Linked DNA regions of Lepisosteus oculatus. The protein of the gene in region 1 interacts with the protein of each later gene in a pairwise test. Links are inferred from orthologs where the notes say so. Each region holds a gene or a part of one and is shown on either strand. Other genes may lie near its edges.

Evidence for each region. The genes of interacting proteins can lie anywhere in the genome.
Region 2: the proteins of pde4dip (region 1) and immt interact in a two-hybrid assay, tested with the Homo sapiens proteins (2 studies listed by BioGRID and IntAct, with this or other methods). The link is inferred for Lepisosteus oculatus from reciprocal best matches to the Homo sapiens genes PDE4DIP and IMMT.

The regions. Positions count from the first base shown.
Region 1 is NC_090704.1:7,911,392-7,918,688, forward strand, and holds the start of pde4dip (myomegalin), read right to left. Parts: upstream 3,017-7,297; 5' UTR 1,974-3,016; coding exon 786-1,973; intron 1-785. UniProt on the Homo sapiens protein: Functions as an anchor sequestering components of the cAMP-dependent pathway to Golgi and/or centrosomes.
Region 2 is NC_090696.1:35,614,527-35,622,478, reverse strand, and holds the start of immt (MICOS complex subunit MIC60), read left to right. Parts: upstream 1-4,937; 5' UTR 4,938-5,090; coding exon 5,091-5,132; intron 5,133-7,606; coding exon 7,607-7,680; intron 7,681-7,952. Other genes in the region: mrpl35 (large ribosomal subunit protein bL35m), read right to left, coding at 1,295-1,490, 2,803-2,827. UniProt on the Homo sapiens protein: Component of the MICOS complex, a large protein complex of the mitochondrial inner membrane that plays crucial roles in the maintenance of crista junctions, inner membrane architecture, and formation of contact sites to the outer membrane.

The DNA.
Region 1 (7,297 bases):
TCCTTGGCTCTAGAAGGAGAGGATGTGGCTGTAACTATTGTGCTGCATCACGTCACTGAGGTAACTGTTGTCATGCCAATGCTGAAATTACCAGAATGATCACAAGAGGCTGGCACATGTCCAGAGAAGGCAATCAAGGAGCAGATTATCAAGAGCACTGTGGTCTAAAATTTCTGAAAGTACATAAGATTACCCAGGACAGATCACACAACGATTTGCTGGCCATTCAAATACTCACGAAATATGATGCATATTCATAAAAGTACTGCATTGACATTCGCTACATGTCTGAGCTTCAGCAGTGCAGAAGCAGAGGGAAGACACTGTCTGCATTTAGAGAGATCAAAGAACTCCCTCCAGAAGCACCGCTTCAAATAATGTTATGTAACCAAATTTTATACATAAATGTGGTCATAAGATTCAATTTTATACTAATGCCGACAGATAATACTAAGGGAGGTTAATGTCTAAATGATTGTCAGGGTTTTACTATTGTCCTGGTATCATTTCTTGTTTAAAGATCACTCCTTCCCCTTCTACAGCTATCTCACCTACATTAGAATTCATAAACCATCTGGAATGCGTCGCCCAACAAGATGCTTTGACATGGGCTAAAAAAAACCTTAGAAAAATCACAAACCCCACTTCACGTTGCCTGATCAGACATAATACTCCAAGGAAAGTCACAGTGAAAATTCTTTATCCAGCTGCACTATTTTTTAGCACACTGACAGCAGAGTGAAGGATGTGAAGATGTCACTGAATGGCAGTACTGGGACGTCTACCTGAAAGCTAAAGGGCATGTACTCCTCATAGACATCCTGCCAGAGCTCCTCTAGTTCGGACAGCTCCAAGTGCATGTCCTGCTGAATTCTGGGAGGCACCATCTCTTGAAATTTGGCGGGAAATTCGGAGCCAGTGCCGTAAGGTGTCCTGAGTGTCAAGTCGGCAAAGGCCATTTTGCTGTTAGGTCCTGGGGGAACAGATTTAACCAGGACTGGCAGTTTGCTTCCCCGTGGGCTCTGGATGGGCCTGTACTCAACGTTTTTCACCAGGCTGAGAGCCAAGTCCAGCCTGTTGGCCTGCGCGGCCATATTTAGCTGCTGCGGGGCCTCTTCCGGCCAGGAATCAAACTTCTGGTCCTCTCTCATCTCTCTCTCTGCCTCTTCGTCCTTGGCGGCGGGCTGCCCCATCTCAACAGCCGTGTCCAGGGACTCCACCGACGAGCCGGGACTCATTCTCTCCGAAACGTCCGCGTCTTCCCCGCTCGTCTCGCCCACCGACTCGGGCACGGTGGCGACGGCCGCCGGCTCCTCTCCGCACACGCTGCTCACGACGCTGGCCGAGTACCGCGTGGAAGGCCCGCAGGAGATGCTCCGGGCCAGCTTCCTGGGCACCTTGCAGACGGCTTCGTAGTCCGAGTCGGCGACGCGCAGAGCCGCGCAACCGCGGCACCTCCTCGAGCGGTGGACGGAGATCTCGGAGGCGTGGCAGTGGTGGTGAGGGTCCGCCGTTTGCTCCTCGAGCTCGGCCCAGGATTCATAGCCCGAATAGGCGAAGTCCTCCTGGAGCAGAGCGCTGTACCGGAGGTCAGGCAAGCCGGAGATGTCCACCGTGCCGTCTCCGGCCTTGCCCTCCGGGCCCGCCTCGTCGCCGTTGGTCCTGCGGTACAGGCTCCCGATGCACTGCCTAAGCCGCTCCTTCTCCTGCAGCAGCCGCTGCAGCCGCTCGATGGACAGCGCCTCGATCCGCGCGATCACCGTGTCGAAGCGGTACACGCGGTCCAGCATGAAGGCGCACTTGCTGCAGGCGAACTCGCGCTTGCCGTCCCGGGTCAGCTCCCGGCCCAGCACGTGGGACAGCAGCACCTGCAGGTTGAGCTTGGAGGCCGTGTGGAAGATCCAGCGGCGCTGGTTGCCGCAGAGCTCCCGGGCGCAGATCCGGCAAGCGTCCTTCATCCTGGAATCCAGCATGGGCGCCCCCTAGCGGCAGGGAGGTCTCAGCCAAAGTAGGTCTCTTGAGCAGCACAAATCTGATTTGTGAAAGTTTGGTTTCAGAGCCAGCAATGTGCAATTAAACAGTGTAATATACAGTCCAATTTTAAAAGTTATTTTCCTGACAATATAAATTAAGTGGACTTTTAGCCTGAAAATACTCAAGCTTATCAAACTTATTTGAGCAATTCAGTGTTTAGTCGTTCATGTGCAAAAGATTCCTCCCAGTGAAGCTGCGAATTGTAATTGTTCGATGGAAAACAGAGATAAATGGCCATTTACGACTTGAAGCGAGATTTTAAACAGGCTGAATTAAATGAGATCAACAGCTGCTTTTCATACTGATAACCGCAATCAGTAATCAAAGACCCCTTCCTGCAAAGGCTCAATATCATCAGTGTACCGCTGGAATCGAGGCCAACATCCCGGCAGAGCATCTCCACGCAAATACGCACAAAATACTTTAAAGCTACCTTGGGTACCAAGACAGAAAAGGCTCAAAATCGCGTTGCTTGCACTAAAATAACACTATTACATAGGAAAGCCGCTTCGTGTTTTTAATCTTAATATTGGAAGAGACAAATAACTAAAAGGTGAAATTCAAAACAGACCCCCTTCTGTTGTTACGCTGCCAGTCCATTTTTAATTTTGTAATGGAAATCCTGATGCAATAGCGTGAAGGATTAAAGGAACATCCAATTGCGCGTTTAAGACAGCGTTTTCCGGGAAAACAAAACCATTATTTGTCACATCTTAGGAACGGATTTCCCGAACACGCGATGCCTGCGCATCTGCCCGATGAAGCTCAGCCTAATCAAAGGGCTCGCAGTATCATCACCGCCGCTGCCGTGTAATCCGACTTCAGTAACACTCCCGAGATCCACGGTCCCCGGACGAAGGTGAAAGTGATTTGAGGAATCCGAGCCTTATCTACAAATTACGGACGTCCCGTTGTATTTGCGCTTCATTATTTACACGCACTTCGCCCGGATAACGAGGCTGCAGCCCGAAATAGGTCCATTGAAAAGCTCGCAATGATGTGGCAAGACTGTAACCAGCTAGCGCTGCTATGGCGGGACTCACCATTTGAAAAGAAAAATAGGGGTATCTGTTCTAGCAATCATTCCCCAGAACCACAGGAATGAACGTGTTTGAAAAAGACTCAAGAGACCCTCTAAAGACATAATATCACAAAATATTTTTTTTCACTCGATTTGTTAATAAGTGTATAAAATGAAATCTGCTCCCCATTCTACAACACTGCCCCTCCTGCGAAACGTTGGTTCAGCCCGAGTGCAAGTAATTTGCATGGAGCCCTGTGCGAGCAGTGATCTGGCGTTCACGCCGGCAGAGGTGAAACGCTGAATTCTCCGGTTTAAAGGTGAAGGTCGCGTTAAACTGGCTCCCTCTGTTCGCTCAAAACATGCTTTATGCAGCCCTTCGGAAATTTGTCCTTAAAACGTGGAAAGCGTTAATGACTTCTTTTAGTAGAATACCCCCGAGTAAATACTGTTGAATAAACGTCGTTTCAGTTAAGAATCTTGAGAAGAAAAATTAAAATTACGCCAGTGTACCGAGACATTTTATATACAAGTGGATGTGGGTTTCAAAATCATCCAGTGTATCAGCAGGGGGGTGTTAAGCCAGGAGTCCTGTCTGAACTCCACTCTGGGCTTGTACAATATAGCCTCCTTCAAGCAAAGGCCGATTGCAATTTCTCACAGAATAGCTGTGTTCTCTTTCGTCTTTTTTTCAGCATGGAATAAACCTATTACTTGTTCCTTTGCAGCCTACGCATGCTGACGCAGCTACCCACCTGAAAATACCCATATACTTTATGCGCAAGTAAATTAATAATTAACTGAAAAACTAGGAAAACTAGTTACTAGTTATTGTTATTTAAGAGAGAATTACTGGACGTCACTATGAATCACTGTACTCCACCCATGTGTCTCTTGCAGAAGGCCTTTTGCTAGTAAAAATAAAACGTTCTTACATTTATTAAAAATAGCAGGTCAGACCCTAAACGAACACAAAATGCAGGTCTCCAACGTCAGTCAGAGTACTCTGTTCATCTGGGAGTGTGGTGTTGAGAAAACCAAGCCTACAAATCACATACACGATGACTTGAAATATCAGCTTCAAATATGACTCAAATCTAACTGAGAGAATGAAAGAGTATAAAGCTCTACCAATTGTATTCAAATGACTTCATCTTGTATACGAACACTGGAAAACTTTGAAGGACTTTGAAAAGATGTGCGTCATACTTTGATGCATTTCTATTGTTTTAGTAGGCTTTTAAAGCGGACCGCGTCACCAAAGTACCTTTCTCTAAAGTACCTTTCTTTCTCTAAAATTCTTTAAAGTCTGCATTGTCCTTTAAGAATCATACCCTAGCAGTAATATAGGCATGCCTTCTGAGCTTGCCAGTAAGAATAATTATAGCCAGAGGGACAAGATGAACTGCACTATGCCCTGCAGATCTCACCTGCAAAGCACTGCCCACTGTGACCGACAATTTTGTGCGGTATGACTTTTGCACTCTTTTGTTTTTCCTTGGAAAAGATTCGTACTTTGCCGGAACAACACCACACGCAAATGTGCTTTCAGTTGTTGCTCTGTTGCTTGGGGAGGAGGGGGACAAATACTTTCACAGCTCTGGTAAACTACTGCTTTAAAAGAGGAAACACAGCTTTGATGACCAGTATCTTTGTCAGTCTGCGTGAGCCCTTGAGGTGCATTAATACTTAACAGTGGTCACAAAGTCTACAGTGGTTACATTCTTGTTACAAAGGTTAGCCATTCCATTTTTGTTTTCGTTTCCACCATCCAAGAGCATCTGTAGTGCTATTAGGGCTTTTCCCCCAATAGCTCAACTATGTCTTGTGTTTTTGAAAGACAGGGGAAATCATTCACCTATAGTGCACAGATAGCCAGCAGGGCAAGAACACAGGGAGGGAATCGATTTAAACAACCTTTCCCTCTTGCCGGGCCTAGTCAGCTGTGTCCATAGGCTTCCTCCCTCCCAACAGTGAGAGAAGTGACAGCCTGGCTGTGAAAGGCCACATGTTGTGTGCAGAGCTGTGAGCAAACTCCTAAACAATGGGCTGACTTGGCACACACACAGACGCATGGGACCCACAGCAGGGACAGTCTGGACACTTGTGTCTCAGCGGGGGGGTGGCTGATGGCTGTAAATGAATAACAATAGCCAGAATCTCGGCATTAATAATAATAATAATAATAATAATTATAATTGCTTACACTTATATAGTGCTTTTCTGGACACTCCCCTCAAAGCGCTTTACAGGTAATGGGGACTCCCCTCCACCACCACCACCACATTAGCCATTCCTCTTTGTCCAACATCACTATTGAGAGGAAAACCTGGAATGAAGTTCCACTGTATCTAAACTTTGAATTACAGTGCAACGCAGACTAAAATAACTACCCCCCCAACAACGTTGGTAAAAATGACATATAATGACTAAGTAAATGACAAATATCTTTAAAATGCCATGACTATGAAAGGTGATGAAGACAAAGAGAGATTTCCATTTTTAAAAAACCAATAAAAATGAAATAATTAGGACAGAATTACCCCCCCAAAGGATTTGACTGCAGAAAAATGACCCTGATGTGCATATATAAACACATGTACCACCCGCTATACGTAATGTATGTCTGTTCATAAATAAAACAGGTTTCATTTTTTCACCAGTTAATCTTAAACCTGGATGTAAATATTAATCTCTCATTACAATAAATTCCATTTTTCATAATGAAAAAGTGATTATTTACATTAATACAGCTTGTTGGGACGTCACTGTTCTTACACAGTTTAGAATAAATTATAACATCTCTGCATGTTTACTCTTAAACTGGAACAGCCACAAGAGAGACGTATGAGCTTTCAACAGCCTTCAACAATAACGAGAACTGCAATTAAAAATCTATTTATTCTAATCAGTGGGAGTTACTAAACCTTACAGTGCAATTAAGGCACTTGATCGTGTTCCTTCAAAAGTGACAGCAACGACACAATGTAACACTGTAAGAAGCCTGGAGACAAAATGGCTAACTGAATGTGATATTAAACTGACTAATCTTCTTTAGTATCTTACCTTCTCAATTTCCAAGTTTAAGCCAGTTAGGTCAAATTTACGCGTCAGTTCCCAAATAAGAATTAATGTATTTTTTTAAAATACCTATAAAGTCAAACTGGTATCACTAAATTCCTATTTAATCAAGTTCCAAGGTTTTCATCACAATAAATATTGTTGAATTTCCTCTGTCTAATGTCACACCCTCTGACCTTGTGAGATTATTTTCTCCTTTTTTGCAGACACTTTTCGGCAATGACAGTCTAAATCAGCAAAGAGACACTTTCAATTACAGCTGGGAAGCATATCTGAGAGGGTGTGGGCATATCGTTAGCTTGTCATCTGTGTCTACAGGGAGTCTTTGTATAATTGGACCCATTTTAGGTTATAAATAAAATGCATTCACAAAAAAAGCATTTAAAATGCATTTATACACATCATTAGAAAACGATAAGGAACCCAAACACTAATCATCATCATCAGTGACAGGGAAAAGGGCTGGGAGAGATATCATTAAAACTAAGGACTTGGATTGAGACATCAGAGGATTTAGAAAGTGCAAAAACCTACACTGATGGATAACGGCGAATGCATTCCAAACAAGAAATAAATATAATAGTTTCGAAGAGTCTTGTTTTTATTTCAGTGCCGTTTTGTGATAACAAATTGATGGATTTTTGTTTTACAAGTCAAAAATATTCCCTTTCCAAGAAATGGCTCAAATTATACTTTAATCATTGTCTCTCTACCTCCTATTGCTTTTGCAGTTGTAGTTGCTTACTTGGTATTTGAAACATTTACTGTAAAAGAGCTGGCTAATTATGAGAACTATGCTTCCTGATTAGGACATCTGTATTTCTCTTGAAACAGATTTACATGTAATAGCCTGAGGGGTGTCAGGAAACTGGGTGTGTCTCAGAGAAGTACTTTACAGTATATTCTAACAGAACTGCTAGTAGAAAACACTACAGTTTATTTCAAGGCAAATATACTAAAAGGGTGCATGATGTGCCTCAATTATTGGAATACATTTAATCTTTAGGAGTAGGGTCTGATATGATTATTCAAATTCCTAGTTTTCTTATTTAAAAAGATATTTTCGGTAAGTAGCTCTATTAGCCAATAGATATAATATTAACATTCTTCCCTTCAGTTTATGTCCAAGTTTGGGTAAATGCTGATGCTATAGCGAAAGCA
Region 2 (7,952 bases), on another chromosome or scaffold:
GCATTGTTCCATCTGGACCTCGAGTAAAAGTGCACTTAACAAGCTTTCGTGTGATTGGGAATGCCTCACTGCACAAGCTGTATTGCTGGTGAGAGGGCTATAAAACAAATTGACAACTTATTGTGAAAGTACATAATAATAATAATAATAATAATAATAATAATAATAATAATAATAATAATAACTCATAAAATCCTATTTCCAGACAAAAAAAAACTCTGGTTTACTTGTTTCATCTGTTTGAGTTACTTGTGTGTTAACAACAACAACAAGTACAACAGCAACAATAAAAATAATAATAATAATCTTTACACTCATATAGCATTTTCTGGACACTCCAATCAAGGTGCTTTACAGGTAATGGGGACTCTCCTCCACCACCACCAATGTGCAGCATCCACCTGGATGACAGGACTGCAGCCATAGTGTGCCAGAACGCTCACCACACATCAGCTATCAGTGGGGAGGAGAGCAGAGCTACATAAGCTATAACTATAGTATTCTCATACCAGAAAATGTTGCGTTTCTTCTTTCCAACAGTATATATGCTTTCTGAATATGTAAATACATAACTGCACTGTCCTTTAATATATTAGTGCACTGTATTGCTTATATACATGGCATCGTATCATAGTACAGCACACCCTTGCTTTTCCAGACTATTGCTGGGGAAAGGGGGTGTCTGGTGTTGCCAGCTCTCCATTAAATTACCAATGAGATATTTCAAGCTTAAAAAAAAACACTTGTGGAAATACATATATCAGAAATAAACCAGGCTTTTTTGGAATGGTAATAGACTACTGAAAGCACATTCAATTGATCTCTGAGGACCCTTGATCACCATGACTTGCCGACACCTATAGATGTAAATCTGTGAGCCATCAGCATTTGTGCACAGTAATGCTGAGATCCTTTCCTTGCTGATTTATGTCCTGGCATAGACATTTCTTGCTTGTATGCTTAAGTATTTACCAGAAGTCTCATCAGCACTTAAAATACATTTGCTGTAAAAAAACAGTTACTAACATGCTTTCAAAAAATGAAATACTTCCTTTTTGCTCAAATATCTACTCCCTTTGGGACAGGACAGAGGCGAATGGGAAAAGACTGTTAGTCCTATCTTCTATAGCTAATGAAATTGAAGAAATATGGTATATAGATCTAGCTTCTGGCACTCTTCATCAAACAACAGCATTGATGCAGTGATCAGAACTGCAACTCATGTCAATACATGTTTGTCCGAGAGAAACAGATAACTGAGCTGGGATACCCTCCCACACACATCCCTACTTACCTCTGGATAATGCCATCTGAAGGCAGGATATGATTCTGGCCAACTCCTGAGACCCAGCCAGAGGAGCTGAGTGTGGGTCTTGGGAGGGGGCGACTCAGGTGGAGAGTTGAGAACTTGCTGGACATCTGTGCAGCAAGGCCAGGTGCCCCCCGAGCACAGCCCTGAGCTACAAGTGGAACCAGGGGCCTCAGCAAACCTGTGTACAAGGACATATATTAGAAACACTGCATCCAGTGACCAAGGAATGCTATTAACTTAGATGACAGCAGCATAAGAAAAAACTTACTAAATGTATTATTAACCCATACAAGTCTTAATCTTTGCTTCAAAATAAAAAGTTGTATATAAGGAAAATCTTGTCAAACAAGTCTTGTTGCACTCATTTTCCTTGCAAAGCAAAATGTTAACAATAATTGGAGGACTTCATAACCCTGCATCTATTACATTCTTCTAAATACAGCCATTACTCCACTGGTTTTTGAATCATGTATATTTTTTTCAGAAACTAGTGCAGTAAAAAGAGGTGGCACCTATTCTAATATTCAATGGATTGCCCAATCTCAGCTATAATTAATAATAATAATTGCTTGCATTTATATAGCGCTTTTCTGGACACTCCACTCAAAGCGCTTTACAGGTAATGGGGACTCCCCTCCACCACCACCAATGTGCAGCCCCACCTGGATGATGCAACGGCAGCCATAGTGCGCCAGAACGCTCACCACACACCAGCTATCAGTGGGGAGGAGAACAGAGTAATGTAGCCAATTCATAGAGGGGGATTATTAGGAGGCCATGATTGGTAAGGGCCAATGGGAAATTTTGCCAGGACGCCAGGGTTACACCCCTACTCTTTTCGAGAAACACCCTGGGATTTTTAATGACCACAGAGAGTCAGAACCTCGGTTTTACGTCTCATCCGAAGGATGGCACCTGTTTTTTTTTACAGTAGTGTCCCCGTCACTATACTGGGGCATTAGGACCCACATAGACCACAGGGTGAGCGCGATCTGCTGGCCCCACTAACACCTCTTCCAGCAGCAACCTTCCAGCTATCTAAACGCATTTATAACTAAACGGGTCCTAAGTCATAGCTATAGACATAGTTTTGTTGTGTAGGTTGTACAAATTTCACCCTAAATAACGCAATATTCACTTATAAACTTAATTATAGTAAGCCGCTATAATTTCTTGGACCAGCTTCCGTGTCAAAACAGTAGTAACATGCACATACAAACATGACTGAACTGGTATGTAACATAAAAATAACATACTCCAGATGAGTCTGCAAGTGCAATATTCTAGTGATCTTAATGAGGAAATGCAAAACATATAAGAACCTACAACCTACAGTAAATTACAAATCACAAATGAATTCATAGCTCTGTCCCCCCGAAGAATGTTATACGTCAGTATAAATTAAAAAAAAATATTTGATTTGATGATAACCACAGTTACAATCATCAACAAATAATGTTTTAGGAAATATAAATCGAAAATTTACACACCACATCTTCTCAAGGTGGCCGCCATCTTTAATCCCCACCACGACCTCCAAACTACGGCACATCAGTTAGAACAAATAGTGCGGGTAGGCAAGAGGGACGTGATGTGGAAAAAAATATCATTATTTTGGTGCTATTATCAATAATGGGCGAATTCATATGGTTTTAAAGTTTAAAGCATGAGAAAAACAGACTATTCCGGATGAGAGGCAGTGTATAGTATTGGCACTGAGGCAAGCAGAGAAATGCAATAGTCTGCGAGGAATTAATAAGGAATGGGCTGTTTCGGTAATTGTAACTCAAGAATAAGTGACTGGATATTTGAAGATATACTGGTGAATTTTAATTTTACTTTTCACAATAATATTCACATGGCTAAAAAGGAGTAGAGACAGAGGGTGGGAGTTTAGGGAGAGAAAGAAGATTGAAAATCCCAGCATGGTTGAAACAGTAGTTGACAATGTGGACTATGGTTTTGATTTGTGTTGGGACTGGAGTAAGGAAAGAGCATGAGAAAAGGGAGGAATTCTGGTTGAGCTGCAGTTTTAGCTTGGAGGACATCCAAGAGGGAATGACAGTAGTCTATAGGACAGTACCAGGGCTTGGAGTGGAGGTTGTGTGGAATAGCTGGTAAGGAAAGGATGAATTCTGTGAAGGATGCTCAAGAGGAAGGCACCAGAGAGGAGAAATGTGCTTTAAACAGTAGGTAGAAGAGGCAAGAATGACACAGAGCTTCTTGGCAGATGAGGAGGGGAGGGAGAGGGTGAGGGAGAGGGAGGTGGAGTCAGAAGAAACAGAAATAGAGAAAAGAAAAAAAAGACCTCAAGAGGCATTCTTATGAATGTGATTCCTAAAGTGGATCCTATAGTCCCTCATGTATCCTCTGGTCTCCACAGAAGTTACAAACATTCCCACATGAGTGTGTTGTCTTCTACCCAGAGTTTTTATTCCTTTTCTTTCTCCACTTGTTTTCAAAGTTATGTCCACTGTTCAGATGTCTCTGTCTTGAGGTCAGGTCTAATACCAGAAGCCTAGTCTTGTTGTTTCCTATCATATGCCAGCTATTTTCTATTATAACATGGTACTTGTTCTTTTGCTTAGCACTTTGAGTTTTTTAAAAGCACTTTTGAATAAAATGCTATTATTATTTGTTCTCATGTAGCAGCCTCTTTTAGCTCAGTGTTATGTCTTAATTCAGAGTGTCTTCCCTTATGTATTGCACCTTTGCAAATATAAGGATTGCTTACAAATTCTTATATATTCTATATACTGCACATATTTTTATATTTGTGTTTAAAAATTCTTTAAATGCTTGAACTTTAAAATGCTTAGTATTGAGCTTTTTTATCTATGGTTGATACCATGCATAAAGTATTTTTGAAATACATTGATTGCTGGCCATTTCTGAATAGTTTATAACTTTCTCTCTGTAATGTTATTTTTACTTTTTTGAGACTGTGATCTGCATGAAAACGTGCTCTGTAAGGTGGTGTAAGGAAACATCAACTCAATCAAATGTGTCATCGCTAGTTTAAGTAAACTTAAAGTCAGTTATTTCTAAAACCTACAGGCTAATCTTAAATAACCCAACAGCACAGAACTAAGACACCTTCAAGTCTAAAGTAATTGTTAACACATAACAGACTGGCACACAGTAACATATTGTACAATGTGTTATGCTAGCCTTGACAACATTAAACACCATCCCTCTGGTGTTCTTGTGCTGGAACATGCTGCTAAATGTCTAAAAAAAGTTGACTATTCTAATGTAAATTTCATCACCCTGCACAAAAGGCAGCTACAAAGATCTGCATTTTGAAAACACTAAATAATGCCAATGACTACTGTATATTGAATTATTTTTGTATTCTTAACACGGATTTTCCTTTTACAATATGTAAAACAGATGTATAACCTTGGGCGGAAAAAACTGCTTCAATTTAATTTTGTCTCAGTAACAACCTTGTGGCGACTGGCCCATGCACACAGCTCTGACTCACCATGTGCTCGGGAAAGGGCCCGGTCCCAGATCTTGGGGCTCTCATTGGCTTTCCCGCAAGTCACTCGGCCGTCGTAGACCCGCCCCCTAGGAGTTGCTCTTTGCGGGCCCCTCGGTTCAGGAGAACTGCGCATGTGCCATCTTACTCTGTCAGAGGGCAAAGGGGGCTGGAGAGGCGGTGTGGGTTGTCCGGGAAAAGCGCTTTCGAGGCTGAACGTACCTATCATGTTTAACTAAAGAGGGATCGTAATCCTTTACAGCTCGCAACGACTCTAAAAGTATATCAACAACAATGCTGCGCGTCTGTGGAAAAGCAGCCAGTGCTGCAGCTCAAGTAAGTCCGTTTCTTACAAACGAAAGTCGGTCCTGTCATTCACTGATCCGACTCTTAAGAGGCCTGTTAGACGTGCATTTATTGATACAATAGGGGAGTTTTCTTGCCTCAATGTGTGATAGAAATTCTAAAAACCGTAAGATTGAAGTAAAAATGCTTTCCGAGCTATCGTTCTTTTGCATTTTCTAAAGTGGTTTAATTTCTATGGTGCATGTAAAATGACGCACAGCACGTTATTAGGCTGGGCACGGTGTGTCATTTTTACATGATTGACGGCAGTGATGAACGAATTAGCGCAGAACATTCCAGGATCGACATAGATGTTATCCAATAAGTGTCTTCAAAAATGAATAAGGTGGGATCAAGCGCCCGGCTTTGAAGTAGTTTGGAAAGTAAAGTGGGAATTAAATTTGCGAGGAGTGGCTTCATCAATGTCAAACTGTAATTTCTTCGTGCTGATACGATTTTTGTTTTAAGAAAATGCTGCTAGTATGTAGTACAAACAGCGTAATGATGTTTGGCGTTAATTAAGTGCTCAGTTAATCGTAATAAGAAGCGCAGTTGCATGAAAGGATCTGAACGTTTTGGATGACAGAAGGACATGACCTTGTTAAAACTTTTTTTCATTAGCCAGCGGAACATGTATATGAATCGGGGTTTCGACATTGGCTATACCTGGGTGTAAGAGACAGGGGAAATGTATTTACATTACCAAGTTCTGATTTAGGGAGACATGATTTCATAGCGTAACTTGAAATGATCGTGCTACTCCTATAATGCATTGTTTTACCCCTAGTGAGTAGGTCTCTTAATACTGTTTTGTAAAACTAAATGATTTTAAATTGCAGCTCCAAATGTCTTTTTGTTATTGGAGATTTTGAAATACTCTGTTTTGCTTTTCAGACAAGGTTGATGCTCATGAAAGCTGTCGACCTCGATCGGTGTAAAATTAGGTTTGCATAACACATCAAACATATTCCCTAAAAGTAAAATAAACTGGGATAGTACGATAAACTAGTTGTGATTCAGCTTTATTCTGCTTTCCCACTTTAAAGTGTTTTATGAGAGTGTTGCATCTGATTTTCCCTTTATTTCGTATAAAAGAGATAAACACAAGTGCTGCCATCAAAAATTGCCAAGTATCCCTGTGGCATATTTTAATATACACCTTGCTCACTAAATATGTAGTGTATTATGAAACTCGATAGCTGATACATTTAGTGAGCTCAGCAGTCTAGGTGCCCCATATACGGTGCCTTGCAGAAGTATTCACATCCCTTCCAGTAATACCTAATTTTGCTGAGTATGAATTGTGTATGAAGATTTTTTTGAACACTGCTAATCAAATCTTGATTGTAAGTGAAGAAATTTATGAGTGAATAAGTTACATGTACATGTGAGCAAAAACGGCAAAGAAATTCAAAACGAAAATGTTAATTACAGGAATATCTTTTTCTAGATACTGTATCTTCTTCATTCCTTCTCCTCCTCCCTGGGCTGCCTGCCCCCTTTTCTCACTAAACCAGCATTCCGTCTCTTCACAGCAGTCTGTTCCAAGACCAGGCTTTCTAACCATCTCTTATTCCTTTACAGATGTCATAATTATAATATCATTCCTAAAGGATTTCCTCTGAGATTTGACACTTTCCTTTGACACACCTGAAGAGGGCTTCACAGCAGAAACGTTGTGTTTCATTTCTTCTCTTTTCAGCATGGAATAAACCTTTAACTTGTTCCTTTGCAGCCTGTGCATGCTGATGCAGCTCCCTACTTGAACTGTTACAGGAATATGATGTTTTCTATATGTCTTTCGCCCATAAAAGTGTCAGGTTGAGCATTCAAGTTTGTATTGGCTTTAAAAAAACATCTGTAGTTTAATTAATTTTTTTTAAGGCACTGTATATAAGATAAGATCACTTTATTGGCCATATACAATTTCTTGTATTAGGAATTTGTCTTTTCGCATACCCCAACTTGCTTTCCATGAGACACACAGACAGGGTGAGAAGCTTGGGGTTGGAGCGCAGGGTCAGCCATTTATACGGCGCCCCTGGAGCAGGTTGGGTTAAGGGCCTTGCTCAGGGGCCCAATGGAGTAGGATTCCTCTGCCGGCTGCGGGATACGAACCGGCAACCTTCCAGCCACAGACGCAGATCCTGAGCCACAGAGCCACGAGGCATTAGAATGGCAACAAATGCTGTTGATTACAGTGCTCATTTGTTGTGGTGTTAGTGCCTCTTTGTACAATTACTGTATATACAGTAGGTCACCGGTGTTCATTCTGTTCTATCCATTACACTTTACTTTTTCCCCCCTAAATAGCTTAGACTGTACGCTGAATCAGGAAGATTGTTTTATAAAATGTACTTGTGAAGATTTGTGAAGTATTTGAACCTCAAATGTACGGAAGGAGCCGAGGAAGTAAAGTGAGCAGATGAAGTGACCGCGCCGGTATTTTCCTTTGCTCTCTGCAGACCTGCCTGTGCGGTAAAGTGTCGGTCCGTCCGCTGCTGCCTTGCCGGCGCTACACGACATCAGGAAGGTCTGGGTACGTACTCTCACTCCCGGGTGTCATGGAGGAAGAATGGGAGTTCAGTTTCCTGCACCTCCTCAATCTCGTTTACAGAAAAATAACTGGTTGGGCCTTTGAGACGGACTGATCTGTGATGTGCAGTTTTTCAGACAGCGCACACGTTGTTGGTATAGTACAGTAGTTAGGTTTCTCTCAGGCCCTGTCTAGCCTTGAGATACAGTGTAATTAATGTTTGCATGAGTACTTCTCTTTGGACCTTAAACTAACATAGTGTAAGAAAGAAAAGG